3 linked regions of the Nothobranchius furzeri genome follow. The protein of the gene in region 3 binds, or shares a complex with, the protein of the main gene of each other region. Links are inferred from orthologs where the notes say so. Each region holds a gene or a part of one and is shown on either strand. Other genes may lie near its edges.

The links.
Region 1: smarcc2 (region 3) and dpf3 share a complex: the UniProt entries of both Homo sapiens proteins name them as parts of the BAF complex. The link is inferred for Nothobranchius furzeri from reciprocal best matches to the Homo sapiens genes SMARCC2 and DPF3.
Region 2: smarcc2 (region 3) and phf10 share a complex: the UniProt entries of both Homo sapiens proteins name them as parts of the neural progenitors-specific chromatin remodeling complex. The link is inferred for Nothobranchius furzeri from reciprocal best matches to the Homo sapiens genes SMARCC2 and PHF10.

The regions. Positions count from the first base shown.
Region 1 is NC_091742.1:25,621,766-25,625,422, reverse strand, and holds part of dpf3 (zinc finger protein DPF3), read right to left. Parts: intron 2,774-3,657; coding exon 2,613-2,773; intron 529-2,612; coding exon 421-528; intron 1-420. UniProt on the Homo sapiens protein: Belongs to the neuron-specific chromatin remodeling complex (nBAF complex).
Region 2 is NC_091749.1:34,751,374-34,755,130, forward strand, and holds the start of phf10 (PHD finger protein 10), read right to left. Parts: upstream 2,474-3,757; 5' UTR 2,264-2,473; coding exon 2,192-2,263; intron 1,292-2,191; coding exon 1,185-1,291; intron 1,037-1,184; coding exon 906-1,036; intron 650-905; coding exon 566-649; intron 486-565; coding exon 361-485; intron 265-360; coding exon 115-264; intron 33-114; coding exon 1-32. Other genes in the region: rab4a (ras-related protein Rab-4A), read left to right, coding at 2,920-2,935, 3,595-3,675. UniProt on the Homo sapiens protein: Involved in transcription activity regulation by chromatin remodeling. Belongs to the neural progenitors-specific chromatin remodeling complex (npBAF complex) and is required for the proliferation of neural progenitors.
Region 3 is NC_091743.1:50,353,313-50,356,333, reverse strand, and holds the end of smarcc2 (SWI/SNF complex subunit SMARCC2), read right to left. Parts: intron 2,933-3,021; coding exon 2,771-2,932; intron 2,685-2,770; coding exon 2,623-2,684; intron 2,541-2,622; coding exon 2,420-2,540; intron 2,350-2,419; coding exon 2,186-2,349; intron 2,101-2,185; coding exon 1,966-2,100; intron 1,856-1,965; coding exon 1,474-1,855; intron 807-1,473; coding exon 742-806; 3' UTR 655-741; downstream 1-654. UniProt on the Homo sapiens protein: Involved in transcriptional activation and repression of select genes by chromatin remodeling (alteration of DNA-nucleosome topology).

The sequences.
Region 1 (3,657 bases), on a different chromosome or scaffold from region 3:
GCGGGGAGAAAGAGTCACATGTGGGGGGTGTTAGTATAAAGTGTGTGCATGCAGCCACAGAACAGCAAGAGGGGGGATTGATTCAGGGGAGCGAATGAACCTGGAGACCTGGTGTGAGAGATGGGATAACCAGAGCCAGATGGCCCAATCCTGAGAGAAATGATGAACATTTCTATTAAATTGACATTAGTTTGCAAAGGTGAAACAATGCATGAGTTAAAGTGGTTTTATTTGTGCAACGGTGTGTCAAAACCATCTTTTTGTGTGTGTGTGTGTGTGTGTGTGTGTGTGTGTGTGTGTGTGTGTGTGTGTGTGTGTGTGTGTGTGTGTGTGTGTGTGTGTGTGTGTGTGTGTGTGTGTGTGTGTGTGTGTGTGTGTTCGGTGCAGCAATGTGCCTGTATGTTGTTTGTCTTGTCTTACCTAGACGAAGCTCACACAGGCGGAGCTGGGGATCCAGGGGAGGGTGGAGTCGCCTCTTCTTTCTCCAGCAACGAGCAGGGTACGTATACATCTGTCCTGCAGCCTGGCCTGAAAAAACACACGTATGCAACAGGATTATAAGATTTCACACACACACACACACACACACACACACGAGCGCGAGGAGAGACATGGGCACACTGGAAGAATTTCAAAACCTACTGGCAAGGGTAACAAACCCTCCATTGAGTTTTGTACACACACACACACACACACACACACAAACCCACGCATGCACGTACACTGGTCCACGGACAGGCCTTGTACTTAAAGACATTGCTACTATCTCACTTTTCCTGAACATCAGTATGGAGAAACAAAGTGTATATCCAAATTGACTGATGAACAATTGGCTAGCCAGAGCAAAGCAAAGATCAAACTGCTCAAAATTTCATAATAGTTGACTCAAAGATTTTTTAAGCAAAGTTTTTTTAATTTTCACACATTTAGCATTTTTGCATAACACCAAAATCTACATGGAATTAATGCAGGGGTATCAGATGTACTCAGGCTCTCAGATCAGCTGAGGGAGCTGCCGTTTACGTCACAATACGTGATTGGCTGGACGTTAGCCTGTTTGGTTGGTCCTGACAAATTGCAGGACTTATGTTAGCATATAATGTGTGATATTTGGTCTCCTAAATAATCCAAGACTGTTTAAAATAAATAAATAAATAATTCTCAGCCTTCAAATTAATTTCCTTAGATGGGAATAATAGGTTTGGGGGCATTCCTGTTAAACATGGTGCTATTTTATTTCAGATAAATTACTTGTTTGGTTAAAGAAACAAAGATTTAATTTTAGTTTTTTTTTTCTTTTTTGGCATTGTTGTTTGTAAGTAAAAAATATTTCATCAAACACGTTAAAATCGTAGAATGCTCTGGCAAAGCATAATTATCTCCCTGCTCATAAATAATGAACTACCTACGCATTTAACCATAATCTAGGAGACAGAAGCAAAGGAGAAGAGCTTTTATGTCCACATGAGTAGAGCATCAAATAAAAATCTCAGGAGAAGTTGGGGGAGGAATAAGCCCAGAATAAATGCATATCATGTGTGTTAGGTCTGCCACAAAGTATAGGGTGTGGCCTGAAGGACTTTGCATGGAGATGGAGAGCGGGCTATTTCTGTTCAGGTCTCAGAAAAAAGCATGATTGTTCCCTTTGGCTTCTCAGATGAACCGCACGTGCGTAAAAAGTCTCGACTGCTCGATAAATCAAAGAAAAACCATTTCTGAGACATCAGAGTCTGATCTTATTGAAGAAATGGATGCATATTTACAAGTGTTAAAGTCATCCCTCATTTCTTTAGATTTTGTTTCAGATGAACCCGAACAAGCTTTTGAACTGGTGATCAACACTTCTTTAGGGACTTTTTGTACCTTTTAGGGCATTCCCTGGCCGGCCGTGAGACATAGTCCCTTCGGCGTGTCCTGGGTTTTCCTTTCGATCTCCTCCCAATTAGAAGTGCCCAAAAAACTTCACCAAGGAGGCGTCCTAATCAGATGCCTGAGCCACCTCAACCGGCTCCTCTCAACATAGAGGAGCAGCTGGTCTACTCCGAGCCCCTCCCAGATGACCGAGCTTCTCACCCTATCTCTAAGGAAGAGCCCAGGCACCCTGCGGAGAAAACCCATTTTGTCCGCTTGGATCCGCGATCTCATCATTTTGGACACTACCCAAATCTCGTGACCATACATCAGGGTAGGAATGTAGATCGGCCAGTTAATCGAGAGCTTTGCCTTCCGGCTCAGCTCTCGGGGCAGGACCTCATCCCTGACCCGGAGAAGGCATTCTACCCATTTCTGACTCAAGACCATGGTCTCGGTTTTAGAGGAGCTGATGCGAAAGCTGGAGATCACTTTCAGATGAAGCCAAAAGGACCACATCATCTGCAAAAAGCAGAAGCTGGTTCTTAAAATCTCATCCCGATAATTTCATGTGTTATATTTTAATTCCAATATCAGCCGATAATATTGAATAATGCTATTATTGTTTTGAGAGTGGAGTTTTTGTGTGTTTTTAAATTTTAAAAAGTGTAGAACTAAACATTTATTTATTAACTGGAGGGAAAATAGTGTTGTACCACTCGCCCACCACCACCCCACAAGCTCTCCCAGGTGTGTCTCACCTGGCCGACGGTGACGTTTCTCCATCCAGATGTAGCAGTTGTTCTGAGCCACGCCAGTTTGGGAGTCCAAGAAGGGCATTCGCACGCTGCGCTCAGCACAGAGGCGAGCATTGTAGCTGCGACAGTGTTCAATGGCCTCTTTATAAAACTGGTCACCGAGCCTGCAGAAACAGAGGAGGGACACAGATATAGTCAGGCAGCAGAGCAGGACGAAACCTGAACCCAACATGAAACATAACGGTTCCACTGAACATTTATGGAGGTCTTTATTTATTCATTTCATTTACCGGTACATATTTATTTTGTTTTGAGTACGGCAAACCACCGTTGCTATTATTTAGCACAAAACTGATTAATATTGAGTGTATCTGAAATGTTTAGCCTGGATGAGATTTTCTAATTCTTTATTTTGTAGAAAATAACATCAGAATTATGTGTATATATATATATATATATATATATATATATATATATATATATATATATATATATATCCTGAAGCCATTTATGTGATCTAAAAAAGTTTTAAAAAGAGCAGCAACACAAAATAATAATTAAGATTAACCCTAAAAGACAGAATAATCATAATAGGTTCCAGATTCTCATATTAGAGCCACAGGAAACATGTGACTCATATTGACATTAATTTATTTAATAAAACTGAGTAAAACGTGTGACTTGAAATGAAAAAAAAAAGACATGCAGAAAAATTTCTCAAACTTTTGAAAACAGAAGAATGATCCCTGCTCGAGTCGGTAAATCCTAAATATCCTGCTTCTGTGTTTACTATATCTCTGACCATCAAACCCCCTCTCGGGGATTTTTCCTCTCAGATATGTAAAGAATGCCAAACTGGACAAAAACCAGCTTTGGCAGAGTCCATAGACTGTTAAACCTCAAACATAGTCAGCAGAAATATTCCTCATTATGGTATAATCCCAGGATCTGCATAGGGAAGAAACCTGTTTACTGGGAAGAGTGGTAAGTGAAAGGATTAAATACTATTGGTGATTTGTTTAAAGAAGGGGTGTTTCTGCCACATGAT
Region 2 (3,757 bases), on a different chromosome or scaffold from region 3:
ACCTTGAATCTGCCTTGTGGCACCTGAATAATCTAGGATCAAAATAAGACATAAATCTTAAAACACAGCTGGTTAGCGCTGTGTCATTGTTGAATGTTTGATGTTGTATTTTACATGAGTCTGGAGGTCAAAGTACGCTCTCCGCTCCTCCATTCGCTCCCTGTTGAAGTTACTGTTGAACTCTGCAGCTTTTTTCGCTGCCTCCTTTATGTACTCAGGAACTTTACTTGCCTCCACCTTCTGAGGGTTCTGCTGCTGCATTTGCTAAAACATGACAGAAAACAATACAAGAATTAAGACCATTTTAAAAAATATTTATCAAAGCAACCATACCAGACATCCTGTTTATTCCTCACTTACAGAGTACTCTTTAGCTATTCTCTGTCGCTCCCTTTCCTGCAGAATGACTGAATACTCTGAGTGTTTGGTGGGATACTCTTTTATCATTAGATCGATCACTTCATCACTCCGCAGAGCTGTGAGGCCTGCAGACATGAATGCAGCAGGATAAAAAAATGAAGTGAGACTAAGTGTGCATGTAAAGTTAAGAGATATTATTCCTTACCCAGAGTGCATTGTGTCTCCGTGATGACATTCTGCTCACGAAGATAGAGCTTCTCCTTGTGGGACAAGTCTCTCCTTTCCATGTCTAAAAAAATCATAGATAAGAAATAAACTAAATCATAATAAAAAAAAATGAGTGCAGCTTCATAAAAATAGATCTAACATGGAGTCTGAGCCACTTTGCCCCTTGTTTATATAATCAAAAAGCACAATAGCTCCTCTACAACAGCTTATCACAAATATTATTTTGAAGTTTTACTTGAACAAATGCATTCATACAAAATCATTTTGAAAAAAGGAACAGAATTCCAGCTTGAACACAAGGATCCTCTCAGCCTCACCAGGATACTTCCTCTTGAATGACGTCACTCCCAGATACTCGCTGACCTGCTCCTGCAGCATGTAATATTCTCCTGTTTCATCAGCAGGCCACTTGTACTCCGTCAGGTTTTCTGCTGGGAAATATGTTGGCCTGAACAAAAAAAAAAATCCACTTTAGGAATAAAATTGCACATTCTAGAGTACAACACCTGGGAAAGTTTGACAAGTAAAGTGTGTTTTAAATTTAACAATATTGTGTAAAACATGACGGTAAAAACTAGATTAAAGCACCCTCTTACCCAAGCTCTTGATTGAAGGTATCGCAACTTCGAGAGCTGTCCCCCGAACCCATTCTCCTTCTCTTAGGTTGGCTGCCATCATTGGACACTTCCTCTATTACATCCTCCTAAAAACAGGAAAAAAGCTCTTCATTAAAATAAAAAAAAAAAACATGCTGAATGTTTTTATCTTTATCAAAAGTTCTAATTTATTTCAACTTTTGCTGCTTTTTACACATTTTCTGCCCAGTCATGTAACAGCAGAATAAGAGGTGATTAAATATTTAAAAAATTGTCAGGTTTCAAGAGATGTATACATCAGGTAAACTATTCCTGAAAGTCACAGTGCTTAAGAAATATAAATCTATCCTGGAAAAACCTGACAAAGGACCATGAAAGTAGTTGTTTACAAAAGACTTGAGTGTTTCCTCTGTACCCAAATCAGTGAAAATGAATGGAGGGCAACCAAAACCTGAAATGCAATACAGCTGCATCATCAACTTTAGAGGCATTAACCTCTAGAATAATAGGGTTCAAACCCTCTGGCTTGAGCATCACTTCTAAAAAATGAAAGTTTATAGAAACTACTGTACATATTAGACAAGACCATTTCCCTGACAAGGTAGGATTAAAAGACTCGTGTGTTGTTTGCCAGTTCAGGGTTACTTCATACATTTTTTATTTTAAATGAGCCACTGCAAAACATGATTTATGAGTGATATAATAATTCATTACCTGTAAACAACTCACGTGTACAAAACGTGTTATTTTAGGAAAAACAAGTATAAGTTTCATTAGATATAAAATAAAAGTAGAACTTAAAATAGAGAAATTAGCAAATAATGCATTTTGAGGTTACGTTTCGTTTTTATACGAGTCAAATTACACAGGCGACTTTTCAACAACTGAAAGGTAAATTGAATAAACTGAGCACACATGAAAACAAAGAATGGACGCTAATACGGCTAACGGGGTCATTCGTGGACACAGGCTGAAGCATGAAGCAGTTTAAGGAGTGTGAATGTCACCTTTAAAGATTGCGCTCCTGGGGTGGCAGGATTACTATCGCAAGGTGGTCTAATGGGGAGCACAGTAGCCATATTTCGACAAAATAATGTTCCGCAGCTAGGCTAGTTCACTAGCTTGAGTCTGCGTTTCTTCTTCTATGGTAAAGCCTTCGGTTTAGAAAGCGAACTCTCCTGGCCTGGATCGGTGATAGAGGTGAAAAACGTTTTACTTTTAAATACCAAATATTCCGATCATGTATTAAAATCATGTGAAATCGGTTTTGGTCCTTTAACGCAAGGTTATCACAGCAGAACAATTTTTAAAATAGTTGTCTAGCTGCAGTCAGCCAATCACAGTGACCACTACTGCCGCCTACTGGTCAATACTTGCACGTATAATCCTTCAAGTTGACAACAATAATAAGTAATATATCTGGTCACTAATTATTACAATGTGGATGTTTCTTATTTGTGATTATTTTTTACATCTATAATAAATCATGATTTTAACGTTTCTGGAGACTTAATAACAGCTCCATAGTGAGGCGAAAACTATATAGTGCATCACAGTGTCGGTCATGGAAGGACTTTTACTTTGAAAGGAAGAACCTACGGGAAGTCGGAAGGAAAAATCAGCTGGAATGCACGGAAATTATCACTGGTGTATTCCTTTACTGAGCTAGCTGTGCATCTGTCAACTTTTATTCCTCCCTTCATTTTGCTTTTGGAATCAAACCGCCACATTGGCGATGTCGGAGTCTTACGGTAAGGAGTCTGCTTTAAACCGAGGCAACAGTTAACGGGTGCCTTCTGGTAGTCAGTGGTAAAGACGAGGCAGGTGTGCCCAGAAGGCGTTTTCTCATCGCAAAAAGATAGCCGACAGGCTAACCGTTTCACCACTCAAGGCTTCTGGCCTTAAAGCAGAGCTGTCAGTCAACTCAGATCATACATCTGGGTTTGATGTAGCTTTTCACACTGAATGTAACGGAGCTTTTGGGATTCTAATCAGAAGAACCGCTAGATACCAGGTAGGGGTAAAGAGGAGGACAGGGCTGGCATAAATTTGAGGCTGAACTGTTCAACTTTTTAAATAAATAACCATTTAATGCTCTCTTTATGTGTATATTTTACATTTGGATCATTCTAAATCTCACAGTAAAATATTATTGCAGCATACAAAATGAGTTGTTTACACCATAAACACAATGAACAAACCTGTGGTTAGTAAGCAGGTGTCCCTGCCTTTATAAACAAACCATCAGGTATTCATGTGTAATATATATCAGCTGGTTTATATCTCAGTTATAAAATAATCTTGATTCAAATAAGATTAGGATTAAGATGAGCTAGTGCCTATGAATGCCACATTAAGAGGGTCAAGCTGAGCTTATGTCTATTAAATGATTGTATTGTTCCCCTTGTAGATTTCCTGTTTAAATTCCTGGTAATTGGGAATGCTGGGACAGGAAAATCCTGTCTGCTGCACCAGTTCATAGAGAAAAGATGTAAGTTCTCTATTATTTCCACTTCTTTCACATTTTTTTTTTTGTGATTGATCATCTAAATGCCTGGCTAATTATTCAGGTT
Region 3 (3,021 bases):
CTTCTTCCTTCATTAGAGACTTTTAGTCATGTGACCTTTAGGGTTAAGAGTCCATTTGTCCATGTGACACAAACAAAAACTAAAAACGTGTCTGATTAAGTTTCTATAACCACCGGCGGGTATTCCAGACAACAAAAGGAAGGTGTAAGTGCTAAAATCCAATTTGATGGATGCTTCAAGTTTTTTAGCGAGACCTTGGGAAACATTTCAAAAGTGCTTTTCTTTCTTCCTAACATACGTGTATGTTTTAATACGTGCATGTATGTTTTAATACATACATGTATGTTTTTATACGTACCTAAAACACAAAGATGTGAAGCTGGAGACTTCACGAGCCATGAAAGAGTGTAACAGGAAAACAAAAGCAACAACGTTCAAAACACAAGATGACTCTTTTGTCTTTCTTGGGTGCTGGCATGTTGATAATCCATGCTGACCAGATCTCCTGGGGTGAGTTTATGATTCTGACTTGACAGTTGATGTCCAGTCAACCACGAGGGATGAAAAATCTATTTTCCTCAAGAGTCGACTTAGTTTGAACAGTCAGGAGAGGGAGTTGACTCGTGTATCTTATTTTTCTGTCACACATTAAATTTCCTGTTGGAAAAAAAATACTGAACATGAAAACTGTTTTTTTTTTTTTTTTATGTCCGGGAGCTGAATACTTCATTTCAGATGATACAGGCAGGATTTGGAATGGTCAGTCATTTGGATTTTCAGGTTTTTTCTTAAAAAGTATTCTCACTGTGGAGGAGGAGCAGGAGCTGAGGGGTGGAGAGTTTCTCCTTGGAGAGGGGTGCTGGGCTCTGTGGATAAAGCAGGAGAAAATGTCTGAAGAAGTACTCTCAAGTACCAGGCAGTAGTTAATCCTTAGCGCTATAATACGTATAACGAAATGTATCGGGACTCCCGGTAACACGAGAACTTCTAGATTTAAAACTACTTTTCCTGCCTGAAAATTATTGACACGTGCAATAAAGGGTAAAATCAATCATCGCCATGTCTGTTTACTCCAAAGATCTTGTAAGATTTCCTGTCTGACTGGAGAATGTTTGTGTGTGAAATCAGACCGTGTCTAGTGTTTAGTTTTTGCTGTGTTGCCGGACACCAAACAGATACTTGATTAAAATCCTGCTTTCTGCTGGGAAAAACCTGTCACAAAAACAGTTTGGGGTGAATGCTCCTGACCAGAGACAGTGGGAGGAGGATAATAAAGGGAATTAAACACGTGCAGAACTTGCAGGTTAAAAATTTTTGTGGCAGCTTGGGAGAAATGGGAATGGTGGGTGGCACATGATTGAGTGGATTATGAGGGAATGCCCTTTTGTTTAGTAATTTGCCTGCAGAACCTGTTTTTGCTGAGCGGTGTTTGTTGTTCTTGATTTAGTTCTGTGTTATTTTCCTGTTCAAATTGTTCACCATTGTTTTCTGACATAAATGCTAATTAAATACCTGCTGTATGTTTAAACTCACCATGGAGTACAGGTGTAGTGCTGGAGCTGGAGTGAGGGGCTGGAGCTGGGACGGGAGCTGAGGCCTGGCTCGGGGGGCAGGGCGATGGGGTATGAGTCCCTGCAGGAGGTTGGGCTTCAGGAGCCGGGGCAGAAGAGCTTGGTGGTGCAGGGCTAGGAGCCGCCTGTGATGCTGGTGTGCTGGGAGCTTGTTGCCCTGCAGTCGGAGCTTGGAGCTGAGGGCCTGAGGAGGCCTGGTTGGAATGAGGACCGCCGGTCTGACTGTGCTGCTGGTGCTGAATCTGCTGGAAGTGCTGCTGGCGAGCTCTCATCTCAGCGTATTTCAGCTGCTCCATGTGAAAGGACTGCCGGTCGGCCAGCAGCTGCTGCCGCTGGTACTCAAGCTGGAAGCAAAACAAACACGTCTCAGATGAATTAGTGCTACTGCACATCCGTTGTTCTGGGAATAAAACAGGTCATTTATGTCCAATAATTCCCAAATTCCATCACTTACAGCCTCCCTCTCTCTGTCCATGATGGTTTCCAGTTCTTCAAAGTGTCGCAGTTTAATCTCAAGCTTCTTCATTTGTGTCTCCACCAGCAGAGCCACCAGAGATTTGATCTTTCTCTCCTCCACTGCAGCCAGATGCTGTTTACACAGAGAAGGAGAATTGGATTAAAGAAACCCAACAAACAAACGGTGACTGACAGAGCAGCGGTAAAATGAACTTCACCTTGGCTTTGACAGCAGCAGCAGCTAAAGCAGAGGCGGCAGCAGTTGCCAGGTTTCCCTCTCCCACATCACGCTCAACCTTCGCCTTCCTTTCTCCTTCTATCTCTCCCTCTCTCTGCCCCTCCTCTGTTCCCTCTTTTGCATCCTTCTCCTTTTCTCCATCACCTGAGAGAAGAAAACATGGTTTTATTATATTTTTCCTGACACGTCTGTCTATGGCCAGGTCCTCTCATACCCATCTCAGACTCGGCTTTGTCCGCCTCCCTCTCTCCTTCGGCTTCTCTTCCCCTTTCTTCTTCCTTCTTTCCATTTTCCACCTGTTTCTCTTCTTCCTCTACTGCTGTATCTTTACTCACCTTAATAAATAAAAAAAACAGTTAACAACTAATAAATAAGAGACACAGCTTTCATTTAGTTTGTTTTGAACAAGCATCCTACCTTAGCATCTCTCTTCTCCTCACTTGATTGGCTGTCACTCTTACTTTCATCGCTGCTTTCATCTGAAGAGAAGACAAGTCAGAAATGTAAATTCTTCCTGTATCGTTGAAGCGCTCTTTCCCTAGTTGTGTCCATCTGTCCATCCTACCGGGTCTTTCTCCCTCCTCCAGGCCGGTGCCTGCGATGCCACTACCCTCCAGCCCATACAGAGGATCTTGTCGGCCGCTGACTCGCGCCGCTTCTTCCACCCGCCGCACGTGAGCCTCCACAAGCGCCGCGGGGACCTCCTCCTTCATACGAGAAAACTCCTCTGAGAGAAGGAGCAACAGCTTGAGGTTATTGAAGCAAAACATCCAGCCCTTGGTTAGTTAGTGGTCTCATAAACAAATGACCCAGGAA